2 linked regions of the Caenorhabditis elegans genome follow. The protein of the gene in region 1 purifies or fractionates together with the protein of each later gene. This does not show direct contact. Each region holds a gene or a part of one and is shown in the gene's direction. Other genes may lie near its edges.

What was found.
Region 2: the proteins of pho-9 (region 1) and cutl-20 fractionate together in Caenorhabditis elegans (co-fractionation; one large-scale study listed by BioGRID). This does not show direct contact.

Annotation. Positions count from the first base shown.
Region 1 is NC_003281.10:2,754,390-2,766,146, reverse strand, and holds pho-9 (intestinal acid PHOsphatase), read left to right. Parts: upstream 1-5,330; 5' UTR 5,331-5,393; coding exon 5,394-5,467; intron 5,468-5,508; exon of another isoform or gene 5,509-5,529; intron 5,530-6,705; coding exon 6,706-7,000; intron 7,001-7,800; coding exon 7,801-8,301; intron 8,302-8,694; coding exon 8,695-8,979; 3' UTR 8,980-9,063; downstream 9,064-11,757. Other genes in the region: swsn-3 (HMG box domain-containing protein), read left to right, coding at 1-16, 1,280-1,497.
Region 2 is NC_003279.8:961,296-974,570, reverse strand, and holds cutl-20 (ZP domain-containing protein), read left to right. Parts: upstream 1-5,113; 5' UTR 5,114-5,238; coding exon 5,239-5,334; exon of another isoform or gene 5,335-5,483; intron 5,484-6,082; coding exon 6,083-6,208; exon of another isoform or gene 6,209-6,253; coding exon 6,254-6,336; intron 6,337-7,647; coding exon 7,648-7,792; intron 7,793-7,837; coding exon 7,838-7,924; intron 7,925-7,972; coding exon 7,973-8,095; intron 8,096-10,374; coding exon 10,375-10,457; intron 10,458-10,518; coding exon 10,519-10,858; 3' UTR 10,859-10,878; downstream 10,879-13,275. Other genes in the region: shc-1 (SHC-transforming protein homolog 1), read left to right, coding at 1,519-1,584, 1,634-1,704, 1,851-1,923, 2,621-3,111, 4,588-4,678, 4,733-4,891.

The DNA of each region.
Region 1 (11,757 bases):
ACAGCAACTCAAAATGGTGAATATATAGAGAAAAAACACGCTGAAAATTCGATTTTATTGAGAGATTTTGGAAGAATTTTATCTTAAAAAATGGCAAATTTCCAGTGAAAATCTGAAAAAAAAAACAGTTTTTTTTTTCTAATTTTTTAGACCAAAATTGTCAAAAATTCCAATAAAAACCCCTGTGGGGACAATTGTTAGGCTAAAAGTGAAAAAAAACCTTCATTGGCAGAAAATGTGTCCCCCTTGCACAGGGTTTTTAATTGAAAATTTGAAATTTATTGAAACATCAACTCAAAATTGTGAATATCTGCAAAAAACACGCTGAAAAATTCGATTTTATTGAGATTTTTGAAGAATGTTAGCTCAAATATCGCAAATTTCCGGTGAAAATGTGAAAAAAACGTTGTTTTTTTTCGAATTTTTAGGCCAAAATTGTCAAAAATTCCAATAAAAACCCCTGTGGGGACAATTTTTAGGCTAAAATTGAAAAAAAAAACCGCTTCGATGGTTGGGAATGTGTCCCCACAGGGGTTTTTATTGAAGTTTTTGGCTGTTGTGGTTAAAAATTCTATTAAATACCCCTGTGGGGACACATTTTCAGCCTCTGAACCGTTTTTTTTTAATTTTTAGCCCAAAATTTGTAGAAAGTTCCAATAAAAACACCTGCAGGGACACATTTTCTGCCATTTTTGCGCTAAAAACAGTCCAATGCCAGAAAATGTGTCCCCACAGGGGTTTTTATTAGAATTTTGACAATTTTGGTTAAAAATCCCAATAAAAAACCCCTGCAGGGACTCATTTTCAACCATTGAGGCTTTTTTTTTCATTTTTAGACCAAAGTTGTCGAAAATTTCTATAAAAACCCCCTGTGGGGACACATTTTCCAGCAATTTTTGTGCTAAAAATTAAAAAAAAAACGGTTCAATGGCAGAAAATATGTCCCCGCAGGGGGTTTTATTGAAATTTTAACAATTTCGGTACAAAATTCCAATAAAACCCCCTGCGGGGACACATTTTCAGCCTCTGAACCGTTTTTTTTTAAATTTTTAGCCCAAAAATGTCATAAATTTCGGCAAAAAACCCCTACGGGGGCACATTTTCTGCGAATTTTTGTGTAAAAAATGTGTCCCCGCCGGGGGTTTTTATTGGAATTTTTAACCAAATTTTCAAAATTTTCAATAAAAAACCCCTGCGGGGACACGCAGCATTCTTATCAAAAAGTGATCAATCATCATTGTGCTGTGTGCTAATCATTTATTTTTTCCAATTTTTTCAGCGAATTCAGCGCCACTGTTAAGAAATTTGGTAATGGAGGAGACACCGAAGACGCCGGAGCAAGAAAAAGAGCAAAATGTCAAGGAGAAGCCGGCGGAGAGCACAGAAACACCAGCTGCTGGCACAGAGCCAAGTACAGATGATGGAGCAATTGAAACTACTACCACTACTACTACTACTGAAAATAAGGAAAAGCCGGAAGAAAAAATGGAAGAATAAATGGTCGCCCGGGAAATTTAAATTCACCAACAAAAATCTTTAATTTATTACTTTTTTACCCTATTTTTTAATTTTCCGCCTCTGAAAAACACCACCTTTTTACCCGTAAAATGGGCGGAGCCTAACAGACCACGCCCACAAAATGGGCGGGGCTTTATGTATTTTTTTAAACGCAAAATATCTCATTATATTTCGAAAAAAAATTAAATTTCGCAGAAAAAAATTCCCCAAAAAATTGAAAAAAAAATGGTTAGGCCACGCCCACAAAATGGACGAGGCTTTATTTTGATCTCAAAATTATTCTGAAAAAATTCAAAAAAAAAATCCGCGATTGTCTATTTTGTGGGCGTGGCTTCTTAGCTTTTTCGCTTTTTTTAAATTTAAAAAAAAATAAAACCGAAAAAGTTAAGCTCCGCCCATTTCTGGCCATTTTTCGAAAAAAAAATTGTGTTTTTTTTCGAATTTCCCTCTTCCAATATCCTCTTTTCACCAATTTTCACACAGAATCTCTCGATTTTTGTTATGTATTTTATTCATTTCCTCCTATATTTTTTATTTATTCATTTATTGTTCTTATCAAATTATCAACAATACACATTCATATATATATATATATATATATATATATATATGTATTTTAAAAAATTGTCGAAAAATCGGGAAAATTTTTAAATTTTTGAAGAGAAAAACAAAAAAAAACAATTTTTCCGAAAAAGTGAAATGTTCGAAAAAATGGGCGGGGCTTGGTAGACCACGCCCACAAAATGGCTGACCATTTTATGGCCGTGGCCTATTGAGTCCCGCCCACGTTTTGCATTGAAATTTCAAAAAAAAAATTTTTTTTCGTTAATTTTTGTTTAAAAAACTAGAAAAAAATCAACAAAAAACTAATTTTAAAAAATTAGATTTCGTAGAAAACAAATTCCCAAAAATTTGAAAAACAGAAAGCCACGAAATGGGCTGAGCTTAATTTTTATCTAAATATGTTTTAAAAAATCCCAAAAATCGCAGATTTCAGGCTTCTGCCTCTTTCCTAAAACCCCCATCTTGCCTCATACACGCGTTTTCGGTGTTCAAAAAATGTTCAAAAAATGTCCGAAAAAATGTAATACAATTTTGAACGTTTATATCTCGGCTCTCACGGAACCGATTTTTGAAATTCTTTTTTCTCTACATTCACAAAATATAGCGACGTGTGTTCATCTAAAAGGGGGTTGATTTGGGAGCATCCTGTCGGCTCCACAAGCGGAAAACCACACCCCTCTTGTTTTTGCGCACACCGAAGTACTGGTCGAAAACCACTTTAAATTGAAGGAAAATTCGAGTTTATGTTCAAAACGTTTGAGACTCGAAACTTAAGTTCTCCTTTTCAATACCTATCCACTGTATCTAAGTTCATTGTGATATCTCTATTCTTTATTTTAAAAACGATAATTAAAGTTTTGCCAAAATTTCTGCACCTCCCCCCTTTTCTCACACACACACACCCACCTCCCCTTTTCATATTTGGTGTGTTTTCACCATTGTTTCGGTCAAATCTCCGTTAGTCTTGCTCACTTCTTTCAAACAATTTACATTTTTCCATAAAATTCACAAACTTTCCACTATCGTTCCGGTTTTTACGTTAAATTTAGAATTTATAGAATGATTTAAAATGAAATCTCAAATCACAGCTCGATCCGATCACTTTTCGCGGAGATAGGGTATTTAATTTTTGCACATGGAAATCCAGTTTTCCTCTGTTCCTGGACAAGTTTTCAACTATCCTTTCGATTTTATGTTTTAATTTTGATAATTTTCATTGAAGCAAGGTAGAAAAACTAAATTTGGTCGGTCTTGACAACTTTCAGCACATTTGTGGAAGTTTCGAGCTTCCAGGCCTTCCCAGAAGGTGATATGTTTCAATTTTTGTTATTTTTTAAAATAATAACCGCCGTATTATTCCACTTTTTACGCCAATTTCAAATATTATTTTATTTTTTTCAAATTTCCACTATGAGCAAAGTTATGACGGATTGAAGTCTTAGTGCATAACTCCTCACCAACTCTAAGAAGAAGTTCACTTTGAACATATACTTCAGGCATTGCAGGCCGGAGGCCTGCTGTGCGATTACAACTGTTTCAAGCCCAGATTGGCTGGATTGAGTGCCGCAGGCACTCTTACTCTTAGAAGACGCAGTCAACCTTAAATCATTATACCAAGGCAGGCCGGAGGCCTGATATGCGATTACTCTTAGATAAGTTTGATTTAGAAAGCTTTTATTATTTTCAGTTTTCTAAAACAATCCCCATTCCCGAGGGGCTGCGGGGCCCACAGGCGTTCACGATTTTCCTAAAAGTAGATATGTTATTCACTCAAGCCTAATAACCAGGTTTGAGGGCCGCAGGCCCGAATACTCTTGAAAACTGTGGGCTGGCTTTAATCCTATTCTAAGCAGAGCAGGCTGTAGGCCTGCGACGCGGTTGTTATTTACTCAAACCTAACAACCAGGTTCGAGGGCCGCAGGCCCGAACACTCTTGGAAACTATGGGCTGGCTTTGATCCTATTCTAAGCAGATATGTTATTCAATCAAGCCTAATAACCAGGTTTGAGGGCCGCAGGCCCGAATACTCTTTAAACTATGGGCTGGCTTTGATCCTATTCTAAGCAGATATGTTATTCACTCAAGCCTAATAACCAGGTTTGAGGGCCGCAGGCCCGAATACTCTTGAAAACTGGGCTGGCTTTAATCCTATTCCAAGCAGAGCAGGCCGTATTCATGAGTTTTCCTTTTCATTCACCGTTTTTTGTAGTTCACAGTGATGATTGAAAACACGCTTATTTTATTGAATACATTCAAATTATTCTTGAACAAAATCTAAGCCTAAGTTATTCGTACAGTGTCGGTCCTGGAGCAATGAATCAAAGTTTAAAGAGATTTCACTTTACACAGTAAGAGCTTCGAGGCGAAACCTCAAACCTGAATAGTCAAGTTTTCTAAACATATACCCCACTCCTGAAATAATTTCAAAGAGATCTCGAATAACCCGTTAACAGGTTCGAGGCGAAGCCGAGAACCTGCGCCAGCTACCTTGCTAATAACTTAGAGCGAATAAACCCTATCCCCATTCCCGAAGGGCTGGCGGGCCCATAGGCCCGCTAGTCCCTCATAAATTGAAATGGAAGAGTTTGCCGAACTAGGCCATTTTGGCTCGGCCATATCTGGGGTAGATTTACGGAGCGTTGCGTGTTGCGTCGCGGCTCGGTTTTAGTTGTAAAACTGAATGTATTTGTCCGTGTGGACTACACACGACACTTTTCCACGCGTTGTCCGGCAGGCGATTGCCAATGGAGCGCGAAAAATGCATTGAGGAAGGCCAGAACCCCGTGTATTTTTCATTGAATTTAAATAATTATAGAAACTATTTTTTTAATGAAACAATGAAGAAAAATATTTCGAAAACTCACAAAAAACTTTTGAGTTTTTTTTCTGAAAATAGCACAAAATCGACAGATTTTTATCGATTTTTTTTTGATATTTCCGCCTATATTAATTAATTTATTTATTGATCTTATCATCAAATTATCAACAATACACATTCATAATTATGATGAACGTACTAAAAATAGAGTTTCTCTCACTCATGTGCTCGCTCGGCCATCACTTATGTCCAAAAAACTGATAAAAAGTAGAGTGTTGAAAGTGAAAATGAGCCTCCCTATTGTGTCACACACAGAGCACAAAACGGGGAACTCGTCGCCTTTGTCTTTGACACACTGGGACACTCCACCCATTCTGTCCCCACAGGGGGTACTTCTGTACTATAAAACGACGCTTTGGGTTTCATAATAAGGCAGCAGCGCCTCTGTTATCATTCGCCACCACCACCACCAAAAACTAACATCGCCGAGAAAATGATCTACCGACTATTATTCCTCTATTTCTCGGTGGTTCATGCCGAGCTCGAGATGGTTCAGGTGCTTGTTAGGTGAGATTTTCAAAAAAAAAAGTACTATAGTTAAAGGCGCATAGGCGTTTGTTAGGCCCGTAGCAAAAATATTTTTTAAACCGAATTATCTCAAATTTTTGAAATTTCTAGTCAAAAATTTGAGAATCAACCCTAAATTGGTTGAAACAGTACCAAATTCAATAAAAATTCGATTTTGTCTTGAAAACTGGTGTAATTGAAGGCGCACCGGCGAAAAATCGATTAAAAATACTGTATTCAAAGGTGCATAGGCTTTTGTGTCTCGTAGCGATTATTTTTTTAAATGTTTAATTGAAATTTCGAAAAATCCGGCAAATATTGATTTTTTTCTTATGCAACGTTTGAAAAATTAAATTAAATTTAAAATTTACTGCATAAATATACTGTACGTTTGGGTCCCGTAGCGAAAAATATTTTCTTCCGAATTTTTTCAAATTTTTGAAATTTCTAGTCAAAATTTTGAGAATCAGATCTAGACTCTTGGCTCAAAGAGTATCAAATTCATTAAAACTGTGAATTTTTTTTTGAATGCTACTGTATTTAAAGGCGCATAATTAAGGCCCTTTTTAGTTGCTAGGTCTCGTAGCGAAATGAGTTTTTTTCGGGATATGCCAGCTTTTAAGAAAAATTATTTACAAAACGATAACAAAGATTCCTGACTTCCCTCATAAATTGAAATGGAAGAGTTTGCCGAACTAGGCCATTTTGGCTCGGCCATATCTGGGGTAGATTTACGGCGCGTTGCGTGCCGCGTCGCGGCTCGATTTTAGTTGTAAAACTGAATGTATTTGTCCGTGTGGATAACACGACTTTCCCACGCGTTGTCCGGCAGTCGATTGTCAATGGAGCGCGAAAAATTCGATGAGGAAGGCCAGAACCCCGTGCGCGATAACCGATAGAAAAACTGATTTTTTTGTATTTCTGTTGGAATAGTGGGTTTCTATATTATCCCGAATAACTTTTTTGTGAAAATATTTAGGAAAAAGACCCTGAAAAACCCAGATTTTCGAAGAAAACTGAGATTTTTATCGCTCCTAATGTTTTCCCGGATATAAAAAAATCATTTTCAACCGGAAACTCGAGCAATCTTAGCGTTTTGTGGGAAGGTCTCTGGCGTGAATCATTGTAATTACTTCCTCACGTGACGTATTGTTAAAAATATTGATAACTAATCACCTTATCAATTCAATAGTCACATCATTCAATGGTCATGTTTCATAACCAATTCGGCATTCCAGACACGGAGACCGAGCCCCATCATTCACATACCCTCTTGATGAGTTCAACGTCGCCGAGCATTTTCCACGTGGCTACTCTCAACTGACACAGCGTGGATTCCGACAGGCAAAGGAAGTCGGAGTGTTTCTAAGAAATCAATATAAGGATTTGATTGATGGATTTGATCGAAAAGAGACACTTATTCGATCAAGTGACAAGGATCGGTGCATTGAGACGGCGATGGGAATTACTCAGACACTGTTTCCAGATGATATTGTCCCAGTTCACACGTATTCACATTATAAACATGATTTGGTTAGTTTTTTTGCTGAATTTTGAAGATTTCTCACTCTAAAAGCAGTTTTTGAACAAAAATTACATGAAAATTGCTAGAAAATGCAGAATTTCAGTTTAAAATCGATTAAAACTCAAAAAACATGCAAATTCAATGCTAATGTTGTTTGAAAGTGGAAAGGTGCAGAATTTCAACAAAAATTGATTAAAAGAATCTGTTAGCTTAAAATTCAATGTTTTACAGCTTACGGCCTAAATTTCGGCCCTTATTTAGATTTTTAGTCTGGTTTTTGAGAGTTTTGACAACCTTTTGACAGTTTGAGATCAATTTCAAAAGGGGTTTCCCACGTGGTGCCAGTTACGGTTTGATCTACAAAAAATGCGGGGGAGTTCTTTTCCCAAAAAATGTGACGTCAGCACGTTCTTAACCATGCGAAATCAGTTGAGAACTCTGTGGATCTTCCTGCCACATTTTTTTGTAGATCTACGTAGATCAATCCAAAATGAGACACTCTGACACCACGTGGTTTCCACGAATAAATCAGTAAACTAACAGTAAACTTTTAAAACAAAAATATTCCTTAAATGTCAATGCTCTTTTTCAAATAATTTTAGAATAGTAGTTTTAACAAATTTCAACAAATCACAAATGTTCCAAAGCTTTTCCGCCGATTTTTTTTCCAAAAAAAACTATCAGAAATTCGCTGCTACCTTTAATTTTAAAAACCGAATGCGATTAAATTGATTTTCAAAAAAAAAAAAATCTAAAAGAAAAACTCTTCAAAAATACCCATTTCCCATTCAATCAACTTCATTTCCAGCTCCTCAAACCAAACAGTGTCCGATGCCGACGAGTCGACGAACTTGTAAACGCCGACAAATCCTGGCTCTCCGCTCAAGTCGATATTGAGCACAGGGACCTCTTCTCTCTTTTATCTCAAAAAACCGGCTGGCATGTGACGGGCTCAAAGATCTCCGACGTTTTTAACGTTCTCTATCGGAAACATGCAAATGGAGTTGCACAACCAGATTGGGTCAATCATGTTCTTGCAAATGTCACAGAGCTTAAGCGTCAGTACAGAAGTATTCAATTCAATTCTGATGAGAAGTCCAAAATGCGAACGGGATACCTTTTGGGGCAGATTACAAAAGACATGGTGCATCGAGAAGAAACGGGCCGGAAGATGATTGTGTACGCCACACATGATGCTACCGTAACCTCCATGATGTACAGCTTGGGAGTGTCCGATCATCAATTGATTCCGTATACAGCTGCTTTGATTGTGGAATTGCATAGACTAAATGGAAAATCTTTTGTTAAGGTTAGTCTTCAACTGGAAGTAGTGAAATCTACTGTGGGCTTAGGCTTAGGCTTAAGTTCAGACTTAGGCTTAGGCTTTGGCTTAGGCTTAGGATTAGGCTCTGGACTTAGCCACATGATTGGCTGTGGCTCAGGCCAAGGCTTAGGCATAGGCTTAGGCTTAATCTTAGGCACAGGCTTAGGCTTAGGCTTAAAATTAGGCTTTGGACTTAGCCACATGATTGGCTTTGGCTCAGGCCAAGGCTTAGGCTTAGGCTTAGGCTTAGGCTTAGGCTTGGACGTAGGCTTAAGCTTAGTCTTATGCTTAGGTTTAGGCTTTGTCTCATTCTTAGGCTTATTTTCAGACTAAATTAGGCTTTCCATTCTGAAAAAAAAAAACCAATTTTAATTTCAGATTCTCAACCGCAGCTCTCCGGAATCTGCTCCCCGCGAGCTTCGTCTTCCTGGATGCGATGTGCTTTGCCCAATGGAAACCTACCAGGAATTTGTTTCAACACGAATTATTTCCAACAAAGAGGAGCATGACGTCATCTGTCAGAACTTTGAAGCTCCAGAAATCGAACTTCCATCACAAGAACTTCCCAAGAACCTTCCCGAAGAAGATCACCTCTTCTCAACACTTATCACTGTCGGATCTCTTTCCTACGATCTCTATGCTAATTTGAAAGCGAAAAATTGAAAACAATAATTTCTCTGAATTAAAAAAGTATTTACAAAAAAAAACGAGTGCATAATGAATAAAATTTTACAATTGACTTTTAAAAAAATGTATATACATGGAAAATTGAGGCCGACGATTGAAAATAAAGAAAATTATCTGAATTTCTGAAAAAACAAACAATTTCGGGGGAAAGTGGCCGAGTTTTCTCAATTTCTAGGCCACCAATCAAATACCGACATGATCATCGTGGTGCAACGAAAAATGCCAAAGTGGCCGAGGTTTCGCATTTTCTAGGCCACCAAACAAAAATTGTTCGAGTCAACATGGCGCATCGAAGAATGAGCAAAATGTTTAAATGAGTGGCCTAGCTTTCGCAATTTCTAGGCCACCAAACAAAAACTGACATGATCAACATGGTGCAACATGGTGCAACGAAGTATGTCGACATGGCCGAGTTTTCTCATTTTCTCGGCCACCAACCGAAAATTGCCACCCTAGAATCTAAAAACTAACAAAAAAGTGAAGAAACAAGAAGCTCCCTCCGTCATCATTTATTTGCCAACTTTCTCCCAAAGAGTCGCCAGTGGTCGCCACACATATACACAAAGAAATCTTTTTCAAACACTAAGACACTGTCTCTCTCTGTGATTTGCACTGTTTCTTCTCTCCGTCCGCAACTACCTCTCAAGAGCCGCGGAGCAAGCAACAACCAGCTCCTGGAGAAGGCTTCTGTCTTTTTTACTGTGGAGCCGAAGAAGAGCACTTTTGTTTTATTAATTATTCAAAATTTTTAAGTTTTAGTTGGTTTTGCCTACATCCGAAAAAATGTTCGGATGTATCGCACCACCCCGACAGTCCAGAAGCATCATCCGATCATGCTCACAGGTAATTTTTTTTGGAAATTTCTATTTTTTTCATCGTTAAAATAAGATTTTTAGCGTAGGCACAAGGTACCTGCCTATTTGCCTACTTACCTGCCTTGAGCATACACCTACTGGAACTTTTTATTTGATTTCGGTGTTAAATGGCAATTTTTGGCGTAGGGACAGGGACAAGGTACTTGCCTACTTACCTATTTACCTGCCTATTGAGGCAGGCATGAGGTAGGTTTGCGGTAGGTACATAGGCAACATAGGCACGAGCTAGGCACATTTTCCATGTTTTTCTTTCATTTTTGATGTAGGCGCACATTTTCCTGCCTACCTACATATACCTATTACCGCAACTATTAGATTTCACGGTGTTTTTCTGAAATAAACATTTAAAGTTCGCATGCCTACCCCTGCCTGGGTCTGCCTGGTGCCTATACGCCTAAAATTGCCACATACATATAATCATTGTTCAAGTCAAAATTCCGATAACATACGGTTGGCAGGTAGATAGAAGGTAGGCAGAAGGTAGGCAGAATGTAGGCAGGTAGGTAGCAGGTAGGTACGAAATAGGCATTTGTGTCGCCAATTTTCATGCAAAAAAGCAATTTTTCAGGATTCCCGTGAGTTCCATGGCGATCCGCGATTCCAGCGTCCAGCCTCAGTGGACCTTCGACAACCACGACACCCACTCACGACACGAGGTAAGCAGGCAGAAAATAGGCGGCCTACCTGCCTGCCTCTACGCCTACCACTTATTTCGAAAGTCGATGCACCATGATTTATTGATGTTGGCTTAGGCTTAGGCATACATAGGTTCGGGTTCAGGTTTAGCCATAGGCTTAGGCTTAGGCCTAGGTTTAGGCCTAGGTTTAGGTTAAGGCTTTGGCTTAGGCTTAGGCTCAATCTAGGCTTAGTCTCAGGCTTAGGCCCAGGCTCCGGCATAGAATTGTATTATTGATTTTTTCTTGATTTTTCTATGATTCCTAAAATAATTCAATATTTTCAGGAAGATCAGCGACACCTCCAGCGACTCTTCACGGCCACCCATCCCAAAATAACAAGCCGCCGAAAATGAAGCGACTAGACAAGTGGATTGGCAATTTACTTAGTGAACGTGAGTGGAGGGTGTGTGAGATCAAAAGTCAGCTGGAACGGAAATGAAATTTGTTTAGTTTACTCTTGTCACTTTTTTTTTGAGTTATAGTGATTTTATTTTGGCTTGGAAAATTCTGGAAATTTTTTGAGAAGAAATTTTTACCTAAAAATTTAAATTCTCTTTTTCGCACTAAAGTTACAAATATTTTCAAAAATTAAAAGTTTTCAAAATTGAAATTTCCAGCAAATTGCCAATTTGCCGAACTTGCCAAAAAATTTTTGGCAAATTGTGGTTTTGCAAATTTTTTTTTTACAAACTTCGGAATTTCAATTTTAATCAGCAAAATTGTACGCATCCTATGAATATCTGGCAAACGGCAAACCGGCAAACGCCAAAAATGAAAATTTCCGGGCAAATCGGCAAACCAGCAAACTGCCGGAATTGAAAATTTCCAGCAATTCGGCAAAACGGCAAACTCCCGAAAATTAAAGTTTCCGGCAAATGGCAAATCGGCAAATTGCCAAAAATCAAAATTTCCGGCAAATCGGAAAACCAGCAATTTTTTTCCGAAAATGAGAATTGCCGGCAAATCGGCAAATCGGCAAATTGCCGAAAATCAAAATTTCCGGGCAAATTCGGCAAACCGGCAAATTGTCGAAATTTCAAATTTCCGGCAATTCGGCAAACGGCAAATTGGCGAAAATTAAAATTCCCGGCAAATCGGCAAGTTACCGGAACTGATAATTTCCAGGCAAATCGGCAATTTTTGCCCATCTTTGATACTAGCCCTCAACAAAGTTAATACTCTCAAAAATCTGCAAAAAACGA
Region 2 (13,275 bases), on another chromosome or scaffold:
GTTGACTTTAAAGACCCTGTATGGCTAATCAATAGTTACAATTTTGTTGGTATTTTTTCTATATCAATAAATACGGCGACTATTTTTTTTGATTATTTTCAAAAGCGAGAAGATGGAGAGTATGAAGTATCATATTCTGGCGTTTCAGGTGATCTCCTTTAAATGTGGAGTATCGAAATCTGGAAAATATTTTTAATTGACTCCAAATTTTCCGCTGATTCCGAATCTCGATGTGAAAAAAATCAAAAATTCAAAAAAATCTGATAGATTTGGATTCTAGATTTTTTAAAAATATTATAGATGAGTTTTTGGGACAGGAAAGTAAATTTAAGCCGCGCTAGAGAGGTTTTTGTGTCGAGTTCCAATTTTCACAGGTATATGTAGGCGCAAAAAAACAAAAATAAAAATTATGGAATTCCGGAAGAATTGAAGTAAATTTAAGCCGCGCTAGAGAGGTTTTTGTGTCGAGTTCCAATTTTCACAGGTATATGTAGGCGCAAAAAAACAAAAATAAAAATTATGGAATTCCGGAAGAATTGAAGTAAATTTAAGCCGCGCTAGAGAGGTTTTTGTGTCGAGTTCCAATTTTCACAGGTATATGTAGGCGCAAAAAAACAAAAATAAAAATTATGGAATTCCAGAAGAATTGAACTCATCCCACCCCTCCCACTCCCACTCCCCAGTCGAAGCAGTTACCGACTGATCCAGGGAGGATGAGGGAAGCCTAGCTCCTCGGTGTGTGTGACTTTTCCGACCTAGATTTACAAATTAAAATCAAAACGGTTCACGGAAAAAAGTAATGACTGTTGAAAAACTGCTTATTTTATTGCATTTGTTCAATTTATTAAATTTTCCAATTTCCCGGTTGCCAAAAAATCAATAAAATTCAATTTTCAGAAAACCAATAAAATTATATTTCTCATCAAAATTCAAATTTCTATGACGTCGCCAGAATTAAATTTCTAGGTCACCGGTGACGTCTTCAGGCATAGTTTAAGTTTTCTAGGCCACCAGTGGCGTCATTTATTTCCCCAGGTATAATTTGAAACTTCTAGGCCACCGGTCACATCATTAATTTGTCTTCCACGGTCAAAATATTTCTCTTCCAGAACTAAAATAAGATTTCTAGTCCACCAATGACGTCATATCTTCTCCAAAAAAGCTATCAAGGTTTCCTAGACCATTAGTGACGTAATAAGTAGGCAATGATATTTCTAGGCCACGGCCCCCCCCCCCCCCCTCTGATCAAAAAACAAAGTTATGAGTCAACTTAACTTATTAGAATGCTGACTCACCCAGTCAACACCAATCTAATCTTTCCCTGTCTCCTCCCTACCACTGCCTGCGCCTCTCCGTCTCGCGCGCTCTCTCTCCCACTCCGCTCACCGCCTGCGTCTCCGTTTCTCTCCCGGTCATTCCTCATTCACTCAATCTTGCAAAATTTCGGTTGTAACGAATTTCGAGTTAGATTTTTTCTAAAAATAATCAAAAATTCCGTCGAAAAATCAACTTGCGGCGATGCTCAACGTGGAGCCCTCATTTGCAGAGGAGCTGCGGAGCAGCGGGGTTTCTCTGTCGGCTACTGTGAGTTTTTTATTAGTTTTTTCCCCGAAAATATAAAATTGTCTTTCAGTACCTCGGAAGTGTTCCAGTAGTCGAGTCAATTAACGTGATGGTTTCCGAGATGAGAGTTCAAGTTGTTTCGTTAGTTTTTCTTATGGCTTAAAATCAAAAAAAAATCTTATTCAAAAATTTAGAAATCAGGCGGTAGGCAGGCATGAAGGCAGGTAACATCTGCAAGCTCAAATATATAAAAAATCTACGTAATAAAGTAACTGTTCAATTTTCAGAGAATGTATACAACACGTTGCAGCTACTGTTGGCGTGACTGCGGCTCGAGAAATCAATCCAGTTGTTAGTAGGGTGAGTTTTTTTTTGTGAATTAAAAAAACAAAAGAAAATAAAATAAAAAACTTGCCATTTTCTGGGCATGGCTAATGGTAAAAATTTACAAAACATTTTCTCATTAATTTGATATTAAGTGTTACCAAAAATGCATGACCAGCTTTGCAAAATGTTTAAAAAAAAGGACCCGTGAAATGTCGGCCGCGCTACGATATCATCAAGAATTATTTCAAATTAACAAGCTGTCCAAATTAATGACTAAAAAATTATAGCAACCGACATCTCACAGGTTATTAGAGAAAGGTTACATGGTGCATCGACTGGAAATATCTGACTCAACTTTGACTACTTATATCTCTGCTGGTTTTGGTTTTTTTTTGAAAAAGTGTCAATTGACAAAATATTTATCGTTTTTTCTACTACAACTTTGCATTTTAACACTTTTTGATAGCAGCGAAATAAACTGAGATAATTACATGGTGCATCGACATGCTCAAATTTTGATAGCTTATATATCCAGTAAAATTCAGCCAAAAGCCTGCCACTATAGAATGTACTAAAGCAACCGACATCTTACAGGTCGATCAAAAATCGCGCTAAATGATGTCAGCCGCTATTCATAGAAAAGTTATTATCACTAATTTCGACTAAAATTATTGCAGCCGACACTTCACGGGTCGATGAAAAAGCCCAGGTAAACCATCCTTATTTTCAGGTAATCGGTGAAGTGAAAAAAGAAAACTTCCCCGTAGACATCAACATTTCCTCGAAAATGATCAAAATCATAAAACAAAGTCGTCTAATTCAACGTCATCCCTTCTCATTCTTCTCATTCGGAGCCCAAGGCCAAAAGGGTACGGACACGGAGCTAATGTTCGGCTACATTGCAAAAAACAAGGATGGAACGGATCGTCGATGCCACGTGGTGTTCATCGAGGATGTGCACAAGCTCATCGACGTCCTTACCACTGCGATCAATGTGAACACTTTTGATGCACAGGCGAATGCTTCAACTTCTAACGATGGATTTACGGTGCCGGCGCCGCCGATGAGACATCGAAGTTCCCTGCATCGACAGTCATTTGTGTCGAATTGCCGAGCACCTACTGTAACTGAGGATGTTGTGGGGAAAGTTTGGTATCATGGAAATTTATCCAGAGAGGATGCACAGGCTTTGTTGAAGACGGAAGGCGATTTTTTGGTTCGGTAAGGTTTTTTAGATTTTTTATAGAAAAAAGCTAGAATTTTGCTGAATTTCTAAAACGTTTGGCTTCATGCTCACTAGGTTCACACCAGGGGCGCGTGGGAATCGGAAATTTTCGGCAATTGCCAAAATTCCAACTGAATGCCGACATTTTCGGCAATTTTCAAACCTAATTATAATTCGAAAATTGAAAAAAAAGTTAACTGTGTTTTCAGTATTCGATTAGTCATTTTTAAAAGCAAACGGTCAATACTTAAAAAATTAAAAAATGTTTAGGCTCCTAAATCTACAAAAAAATATCAAATCTATATTTTCGGCAATTCGGGCAAAATTTGATTTTCGAAGAAAAAGGCTAATGTTTTAATAATTGGCAATTTTTTGGTAAAACCTGAGATAAGTAAAATATGAGCTATGATAGCTGATCAATGCATCATGTCTTCCATGTAACTTTTTCCAATCATATCTCGGTTTATATCGCTGCTAGCAAAAAGTGTTCATCTGCAAAGTTGTAGAAGAAAAAAGGATAAATATTTTGTCAATTAACAATTTTTCAATAAAACCACAACCAGCCGAGATATAACCTGCCAAAGTTTTGTGAGATATTTCTTGTCGATGCACCATGTTTCTCATGTAACTTTTTCCAATCATATCTCAGTTTATATCGCTGCTAGCAAAAAGTGTTGAACTGCAAAGTTGTAGTAGAAAAAAGGATAAACATTTTGTTAATTAACAATTTTTTAATAAAACCACAACCAGCCGAGATATAACCTGCCAAAGTTTTGTGAGATATTTCTTGTCGATGCACCATGTTTCTCATGTAACTTTTTCCGCTAATATCTCGGTTAATATCGCTGCTAGCAAAAAGTGTTCAACTGCAAACTTTTAGTAGAAAAAGTGATAAATATTTCGTCAATTGAAATTTTTTAAATAAAACCAAAACCAGCCGAGATATAAACTGCCAAAGTTGCGTGAGCCGGTCAATGCACCTTTCTTTAACAACCTGCGAGATGTCGGTCGCTATAATTTTTTACTAATAGTAAATCGGATAGCTTTTTAATATAAGCCTATTTTAACAGACTTCGTAGAAAAATCTGAAAGTCTAAAAAAATCAAATTTGACTGAAAAAATAGTATGAAAAATCCTTTTTTTATATATTTCTGACTTAAAGCTTCAGTCACATTTCATATCTGTAATTTGTTTGATAATATGTTCAGAAGCCACGGGACTTTAAATAATTCTTGAAAGACCAGGGAAAAATTTGGTATAATAAGTTCATCCTCCCAAAATTTTTTTAGATTTTTGTTTTAGGCTGAAATTTTTGTTCAAAAAAAATTCTGCGTTTTTTTTCCTGAAATACAAAAGATGCAAGGTTTGCATGATGCTAAGATTGTCTGAAGCAGCGGACACCTCACAGTCCCCCTTCTCTAAAAAAAGACCCGCAAGCTGTCGGCCGCTCAAACTTGTCCAGTTCCTTGCAGACAAAGCGACCACACGCCCGGCAAGTACGTGCTGAGTGGCCGAACCGCTGAAAACGAGCACAAACATCTCATCCTACTGGACAATCACAACGTAAGACCCTCCCCCCCCCCCCCCGCCAAACCTTCAAACCTCTCAAAATTCCAGAGAGTCCGAACCCGCGATCGCACGTTCAGCAACATCTCCGAGCTCATCGACTATCATGTGAACAATGGGATGGCCGTAAGATCAGAGGGTCGGGATCGCGAGACGTCGTTGAATCTGATCCGACCTGTGCCGTGCCCCGGAAGTGATGATATCGAATAGAGTCGGAATTTGTTTCCTATTTTTTTTTCGATTTCTAGCAGAAATTGAAAGTCGAGTAGCAAATTGCGTAAGACTTTTTCCTCTTCTCGTCGCCCCCCCCCCCTCTTTCATATAATTAGGTAGTTGTCCTTCTACCGTAACATGTCATTACTATCCTCTTTCTTTCCTTCTTTTTTTTGCGATTCTCCTCCTCGGCCACGCTCCAATTATACCCCCCACCCACCTGTATTCTTACGCCACCACCCCAACCAGCGCACACATCTTTTTGTATTCATTTTTCCATATATATTTGTATTATTACTACTATTACCCTCACTACTGTTATCGATTTTTCCCTCCACAAATTTATGATTCTGCACTGGATCATTTGGTCGGTGGTTGTGGTGCTGCCACCGCTGATTCGATCGGTGGCCATTGTGGACACTTCTATTGCGTGTGATAAGGTAGGGATGGCCTAGAAAAGTCACCTAGTCCAACACTCCCACCCCGTATCTATGTTTCTGCCATCTTGTGATATTTGCTCCATACCATATACCCTGCCCATTTCTGTCCTACTTTCATATCCTGAAAAAATGAAGTATTTGAGAATCGAGTTTTGAAAATATTAGTGGTGGCCTAGAAATTTTAGGCTTGGGTTTAGGCTTAGGCTTAGGCTTAGGCTTAGGTTCAAGCTTAGGCGTAGGCTTAGGATTGGGCTTAATCATGGGTTTAGGCTTAGGCTTAGGCTTTGGCTTAAGCCGAGACTTAGGTTTGGCGTCAGTGGCGAGCGTTAGCTTGCTACTGACGCTATTTAGGCTTAGGATTTTCCGGTTTTTTTTAGGCTTAGGCTTAGGCTTGAGCTTAGGCTTAGGCTTAGGCTTTGGTTTGGGCTTAGGCGTAGGCTTAGGCTGAACCTTAGGCTTAAGCTTAGACATTGGATTAGGCTCAGGCTTAGGCTTTTTGGAAGATGTGTGGAGCCAATAAAAAGTTGCATGGAAAAAATATGACGTCACAAATGACCTAAAATGTTTCATTGTTTTTGGCAAAAACACAATAGTTTAGAAATTTGGCTGCAAGAAGTTCCTCGGCCTAGAAACTCTCTTAAACTCTCGAAAAAGCGAATTTGAAGGGCATTTAATGGAAGATTAAAAACCCAGGCCAAAACCTTGAAGGTCACCACCCAAAAGGAAAAAAACGTCTTCAATATTGCAGACAGATTTCCTATTGAAAATCAAGTTTGACGAAAACTTCCGTGGCACGATACAAAGTCGCGCGGGCCATCCAAAGTGTATCTATGCAAATGGCACGCTTCAATCGGACACCAAATATCAGTTGAAGGTTTGCCTATTGAATGTATTGAATTTTTGGGCATTATTTGCTTAGATTCCGCTGACTGGCTGCTCGACCAAGGAGAACGGAGAAGGCAATTTGGAGAATGAGATCGAAGTTGTCATGGCTAACAATGAGTGGGTTTTTTTTTGCCATGTGGTACTAGGTTTTTTGCCGCTATGCTCACAAGGAAAGTATTTCCGCTCAGTTTTAAAGGTGGAGTAGCGCCAGTGGGGAAATTATGAAAAACCATTCATTTGGTCCCAAAGTGACCGAATATCATAATAAAACTTTTTTTTTTTGTAAATGTTTTATTTACTGTCAAAAAGTGGCAATTACTCAGGTAGTTTTGGATCATAATAAGTGTATTTAGACAAAATCCCCCACTGGCGCTACTCAAAATTTAAACTTGAAAATTAAATTTTTGAATTTTGAAAAAAGAGCTTTCAAATAGGTACCTACAAAAAATTCAGCGACATACGAGCACTTTAAACTAGAAAAATCTCGCTCTGAAGTTGCTGCCAGTGAATTTTTACTACCAAATTTGGAGGCTAGTTTAGAGATTTTTGAAAAATTTCATGATTTTTAGGCTATTTCAATATATACAAGTATTCTGAAAGCAGTTTGGAAATTTTCTGATTTCTCCTAATTTCTAATTTTTCTAATTTCTCAAATTTCTCCTAAAATCTGCAACTTTTTTCACCCAACAATTTTCATCGATCAGGATATTTTTTGGAATTTTTTTTTCAAAAAAAAAAAAACATTTTGCAAAAAGATTCCAGAATATTTGCCAACCTCGAAATACCCTAAAAATCATGGGGTTCTGGCGCGCCATGGCCTTCCTCATTGAGATTCTCGCGCTCCATTGGCAATCGCCCGTCGGGCAACGCGTGGGAAAGTCGTGTACTCCACACGGCCAACTACATTTAGTTTTACAACTAAAATCGAGCCGCGACGCGACACGCAACGCGCCGTAAATCTACCCCAGATATGGCCGAGCCAAAATGGCCTAGTTTGGCAACCTCTTCCATTTCAATTTATGAGGGAGGCCAAAAATCTGTGATTTCAGATCGATTTTTTTCTAATGTAGAATGATGATCATATTATGGTATTACCGGTACAGAGAGTGTAGATAGTTAGAGAGTGACAGACATCCGGGACCCAATGGGGCGGGGCGCGCGGAAGAGACGATTTGTGTCGATTTACGAAATTTTCCTCGTTGTCATCATTTCGTAAATCGACACGAATCGTCTCTTCCGCGCGCCCCGCCCCATTGGGTCCCGGATGTCAGTCACTCTCTAACTATCTACACTCTCTGTACCAGTAATATTTGTTATTGAAACTAATTTTTTTAGGAGCATTTTTTTTATTCCATGGTACCTAAAAAACCATATACGAACAAAAATAGACAAAAATAAAAAATAACTTCCTCATCGTTTTTTTTTAAGATTCAATGCAGAAACCGACAAACGATTCCTTCTGACCTGTATACCTGCTGCCCCTGTTCCTAAAGAATCTCAGGTGACCGTATCATTTGGTGGAATCACTATCAACTCGGATGCCACCACAGCAAGCAGCCTATCGGATAATAAGGTAAGGCTTCAAAATTATCGCTGCGAGACCCATATAATGTTTCAGACAGTCGACTACCGAGTTCGTGTTCTAGACGGCGACAGTTTGGATTCAAAGCAGCTACAACGTCCGTTAGCAGTTGGTGATAGAGTTGTAAGTCAGGAACTCCATAAATCAAAAGAAACTATTTGTAAATTGTAGACGTACACAGTTGAAATGAGCGATGATCAGAATGGACGAATCGGAAGGTGTTGGGCGAATGACGGGATATCCGAGCTACCACTGTCGGACTCACACGGATGCTCTTTGCAGACTTCTGGGGAGGTACGGTTTCATTAAAAAAAACATAGTGCATCGACATTTAAAACTGCCGAAAACTGGGTCCTGCCACCAGTTTTTCAAAAAAAAAAACTAACATTTTGCTCAAAATCATCATGGTGCATCGAAGAAACTTACAAAATTGGGTCGGTCAAACTTTTGGGGCTCTGCTTCGATAGTGAGTGGAGTACCAAAATTTGATACTTTGCCTTTTTAGACCCAAAATGGTCCAAAAACTACCAAATTTCGTATTAAGACGTTCTGAAAATTTTTCAAAAAAAAAAGTTATTATGACCTCTCAAAGTTTTGGAAAAATGGTCGATTTTTAGCTAAAATCTCAAATTTTGGCACCTTTTTAGTGTCGGAGCGGTTGGAACATATTTTTATGCATGTTTTTGCAATTTATCACGTGTTGTTTCTAAAATTAAGCTCCAGCTGTGACATTGAAAAGTTGCCAAAATTTGAGATTTTAGCTAAAAATCGACCATTTTTCCAAAACTTTGAACGGCCATAACTTTTTTTTTTGAAAATTTTTCAGAACAGGTTAATACGAATATTGGTAGTCTTGGACCGTTTTGGATCTAAAAAGACAGAGTATCAAATTTCGGTTCTCCACCTTTAAGCATGGCCAGGTGCTTTTCTAAAAATCGTGTAGCCCATAACTAATGCATCATTCGGGATATATTATTGAAAGAAAAAGTCCTGCACAAAATTTCGCGCTGAACACTCATTTTGATACATTTGGAAAAATCGATAATTTTCATTGATATTAAATACCCATTATGATTTTTTTTTTAATTTTAAAGGTGGAGTAGCGCCAGTGGGGAAATTACTACAAACCACTCAAATGGTGCCAGAATAATCGAATATCATAATAAAACTTTTCAAAATGTTTTTGAAAATTTTTTATTTACTGTCAAATTGGCAATTACTCAGTTTTTGCCACTCATAATTTTAAAAGTCGACCAAAAAAAAATTTTTTTCTACATTGTATAAAAACATTGTGTGGGTCGAAACACGCGACATTGCTTTGGATTTCCTCAAAAGCTCATATTTTTTTTCAATATTTTGGCAATTTGCCAAAACTTTGACCGGAAATTTTGAAAAATCTTAAATATTTTGGAGTGTTTCATTAAGATATTCGATCGTTTTGGATCATAATAAGTGTATTTAGACAAAATCCCCACTGGCGCTACTCCACCTTTATTTTTATGCCACTTATGCTAAGTGCGGTTTAAGTTCTACTAATATAAATCTTCATGGTGCATCGAGAAAAAAATGATACATTTTTAAAACTCTCTCCTTTCCAGGATGCACCATGTTTGACGTGAAATTCATCATGGTGTATCGACAAAAAAAAAAACAAAATGCTTCAATTTCTTATTTTATACACACCTGATCAATTTTCATTCCTGTGCATTTTACAAAATTTCACGCTGAAAATGTATGGTGCATTGATAAAAATTGAGAATTTAATAGGAACCTAATGAAATTGAATTTTTTACAAATCTATTGTTTTGCTAAACTTTCCCAAAACATCGGAAGGGTTCTTTTTTTTTTTTTCTAAATTTTCTCTTTTTTTCTCTTCATCATGGTGCATCGAGAAAGTATCAAAATCTGAGACTTTACTTTTTTAGATCAAAAATGACCCAAAACTACCGAATTTCTAAATGAGACGTTTTGAAAAATTCTCAAAAAAGAGTTATGGCCGCTCAAAGTTTTGGAAAAAAAGTCCCATTTTCAGCTAAAATCAAAATTTTCGCCAATTTTTTTCTCGGTCGGGAACTCAATTTTTATTTATAACTATAATATCACTCTTTTATAAATATTGTGGCCCTTTATAAGCCGTTTATTCGTCGATTAAAGTGCATTTTCGGGCAGTGGGGCACAAAAAAAATTACATTTTTATTCCTCCCCCAGCCCCCAAAACATTAGATTTTAGCTGAAAATATGCTATTTTCCAGAACTTTGAACCGCCATAACTTTGTTTTGAAAAATTTTCAAAACGTCTTACTAAACAATTCGGTAGTTTTGGGTCATTTTTGGTCTAAAAAAGTAAAGTCTCAAATTTCTTTACTCCTCCTATAACATTTTTTCTCGATGCACCATGATGATATTAGAGAACATTGGAAAACTAAAAAGATGTTTAGGGAAAGTCTAGCAAAACATCTTTAAATTTCAAAAGAAAATTATTTAGCGTCGATGCACCATGTTTGGCACAAAATTCATCATGGTGCATCGACCAACTGCATATTATTTGAGACTTCCATAGAAAATTGTTCCAGGTGTGGGGAGACTTTGAAGTGACTCGACGCAATGGTAAGACCATCTTCTACAACCACATAAAGGCCTGGGCATTCCCAACGAGGTAAGCCTCTTAAGTTCTTTGTTCATGTTCACCACCCACCTCTCAACGACTATTATTCCAGCAACGAGGTGAACATCTTCTGTAACCTTCACGTCTGTGTCACGTGTACCCAGGCCGCGTGTCGTGGACGGGAACGTCGACATAATCCTCCTCCTCAGCATTCTTCAACCGTCTCTGATCCCTTCTCGTCGACAATCGACGTGTCCGACATCTCGCCACCGATCGCCGTGCGAACATCGTTCCGTCTGAAACGGGAAGCTGTCGCACGGCTAGAGACATCACAAACAACGTCTTCCGTTTCAACAGATTCTTCAACTAATTCGTCTTCTTCTTCTTCTTCTGCCAATCTCTCCTTCCTCTTCTTCCTCCTAATCGTTGCTTCAGGTGTCTTCGACTATTAATAAATTGTTTGAGAAAATAATTGGTTGGCATGTACATATATGTATACACTTCGATGCGCTCCCCCAACTTACAAGTTAATGGCAAATTTGTAGAAAGTTGAACATTTGCAAGTTTTACACCAACTTCAAGGGGGTTACTGTAGTTTTTGCATACTGTAGTGTACTGTAAGATTTCATAGTGTTATGCCAACTGTATTGCGGCGGTACTGTATTGGGGTACTGTAGGATTACGGTAGACATTTGCAAGTTTTACACCAACTTCAAGGGGGTTACTGTAGTTTCTGTATACTGTAGTGTATTGTAAGATTTTCATAGTGTTACGGTAATAGTATTGTGGCGGTACTGTAGGATTACGGTAGTGGTACGATACGCTGATATTACTGGAAAGATTCTGTTGAAGTGGTACTGTAGTGCTACTGTAGAAGTACTGTAGGTTTAAAGGATCACCACTATGGTGATGCAAGGGTACTGTAGCATGCACAGAAGTACTGGAGGATTACTGTAGTGATACGGTAGGCTAATATTACTGTTAGGACGTGATAGTACTTTGGAGGGTGAGAACAATTTCTGAAAAAATACAAAAAAAAATAAAAAACTGTTTGATTTGCTGAAAAAGGCTGAAATTCTACATGAATCTACGAAAATTTGTGCCAACTGTTTGAGTTTTTTAAAGCTATTCGAAATTTCAAATTGAATTTGCAGACTTCTGAAAATTGAGAAAATTACAAAAAGACTACTATAGAATCACGAAAATTTCTGAAAATCTGAGCAGAAGCCAAAAACACTCTACAATTTCTGAACTTAACAAAAAAAAATCAGAAAAAAGAGTTGAACATTTGCAAGTTTTACACTAACTTCAAGGGGGTTACTGTAGTTTTTGTATACTGTAGTCTATTGTAAGATTTCCATAGTGTTACGGTAATTGTATTGCGACGGTACTGTATAGGGTACTGTAGGATTACTGTAGTGGTACAATGTGTTGGCATTACTGGAAGGATCATTGATGTAGTGGTACTGTAGAAAGTACTGTATTTAAAGGAGGGCCACAATAGTGATGCAAGAGCACTGCAGAACAATTTTTGAAAAAATAATCATAAACTGTTTGATTTGCTGAAAAAGGCTAAACTCAGGGATCGGAAATTTCCGGCAATCGACAATTTCGGCAATTGCCGGTTTTCGAAATTTCCGGGAGTCGGCAATTTCGGCAGTGGCCGGTTTTCGAAATTTCCGGGAGTCGGCAATTTCGGCAGTGGCCGGTTTTCAAAATTTCCGGCAATCGGCAATTTTGGCAATTGCCGGTTTTCGAAATTTCCGGGAGTCGGCAACTTCGGCAATTGCCGGTTTTCGAAATTTCCGGCAAAGGGCAGTTTCGGCAATTGCCGGTTTTCAAAATTTCCGGCAAGCGGCAATTTCGGCAATTGCCGGTTTTCGAAATTTCCGGCAATGGGCAATTTCGGCAATTGCCGGTTTTCAAAATTTCCGGCAATCGGCAATTTCGGCAATTGCCGGTTTTCGAAATTTCCGGCAAGCGGCAATTTCGGCAATTGCCGGTTTTCGAAATTTCCGGCAATCGGCAATTTCGGCAATTGCCGGTTTTCAAAATTTCCGGGAGTCGGCAACTTCGGCAATTGCCGGTTTTCAAAATTTCCGGGAGTCGGCAATTTCGGCAATTGCCGGTTTTCAAAATTTCCGGGAGTCGGCAACTTCGGCAATTGCCGGTTTTCGAAATTTCCGGCAATGGGCAATTTCGGCAATTGCCGGTTTTCGAAATTTCCGGCAAAGGGCAATTTCGGCAATTGCCGGTTTTCGAAATTTCCGGGAGTCGGCAACTTCGGCAATTGCTTCATTCGAAACTTCAAAATTAATTGGCAATTTTTTGAAAATTGAGAAAATTACAAAAATATTATTGTAGAATCACGAAAATTTCTGTAAATATTTGAAAAATCCTGAAAATCTGGGCAGAAGCCAAAAAATAAAAAAAAATTCCCAAAATACTTTTTCCTAGTCACAATTGAAAAAAGTCACCTGCCTAACCTAACTGATTCTTGCTCTCTGCTGCCTCTTTGTCTCCACACAGAGCACATTCATTATCAGTACACCCTGAAAACCGACGTTTACGACGTGAACATGTGAACCACTTTTGGCTAATTAACAATTTTATTACATGTACAAAAACATGGAAATGAAAGAAGTATGCCCTGTATTAGAAGTGCATGATACCCCTCTCCTCCTATAGACCGCGCGCGCGCGGGCTCACAACAAAATCCGTGCTCGCAGAAAGAGAGACGTTTCTTGATTTATTCGTTTCGCGCGCCGGCTCATCCCCCGCCTTGCACACACACACACACACACAGATATGATTGATGCTATCGAACCATCGTCCCCCGCCGGGAATTCCCAGGCTTGTTTTTTGGGCA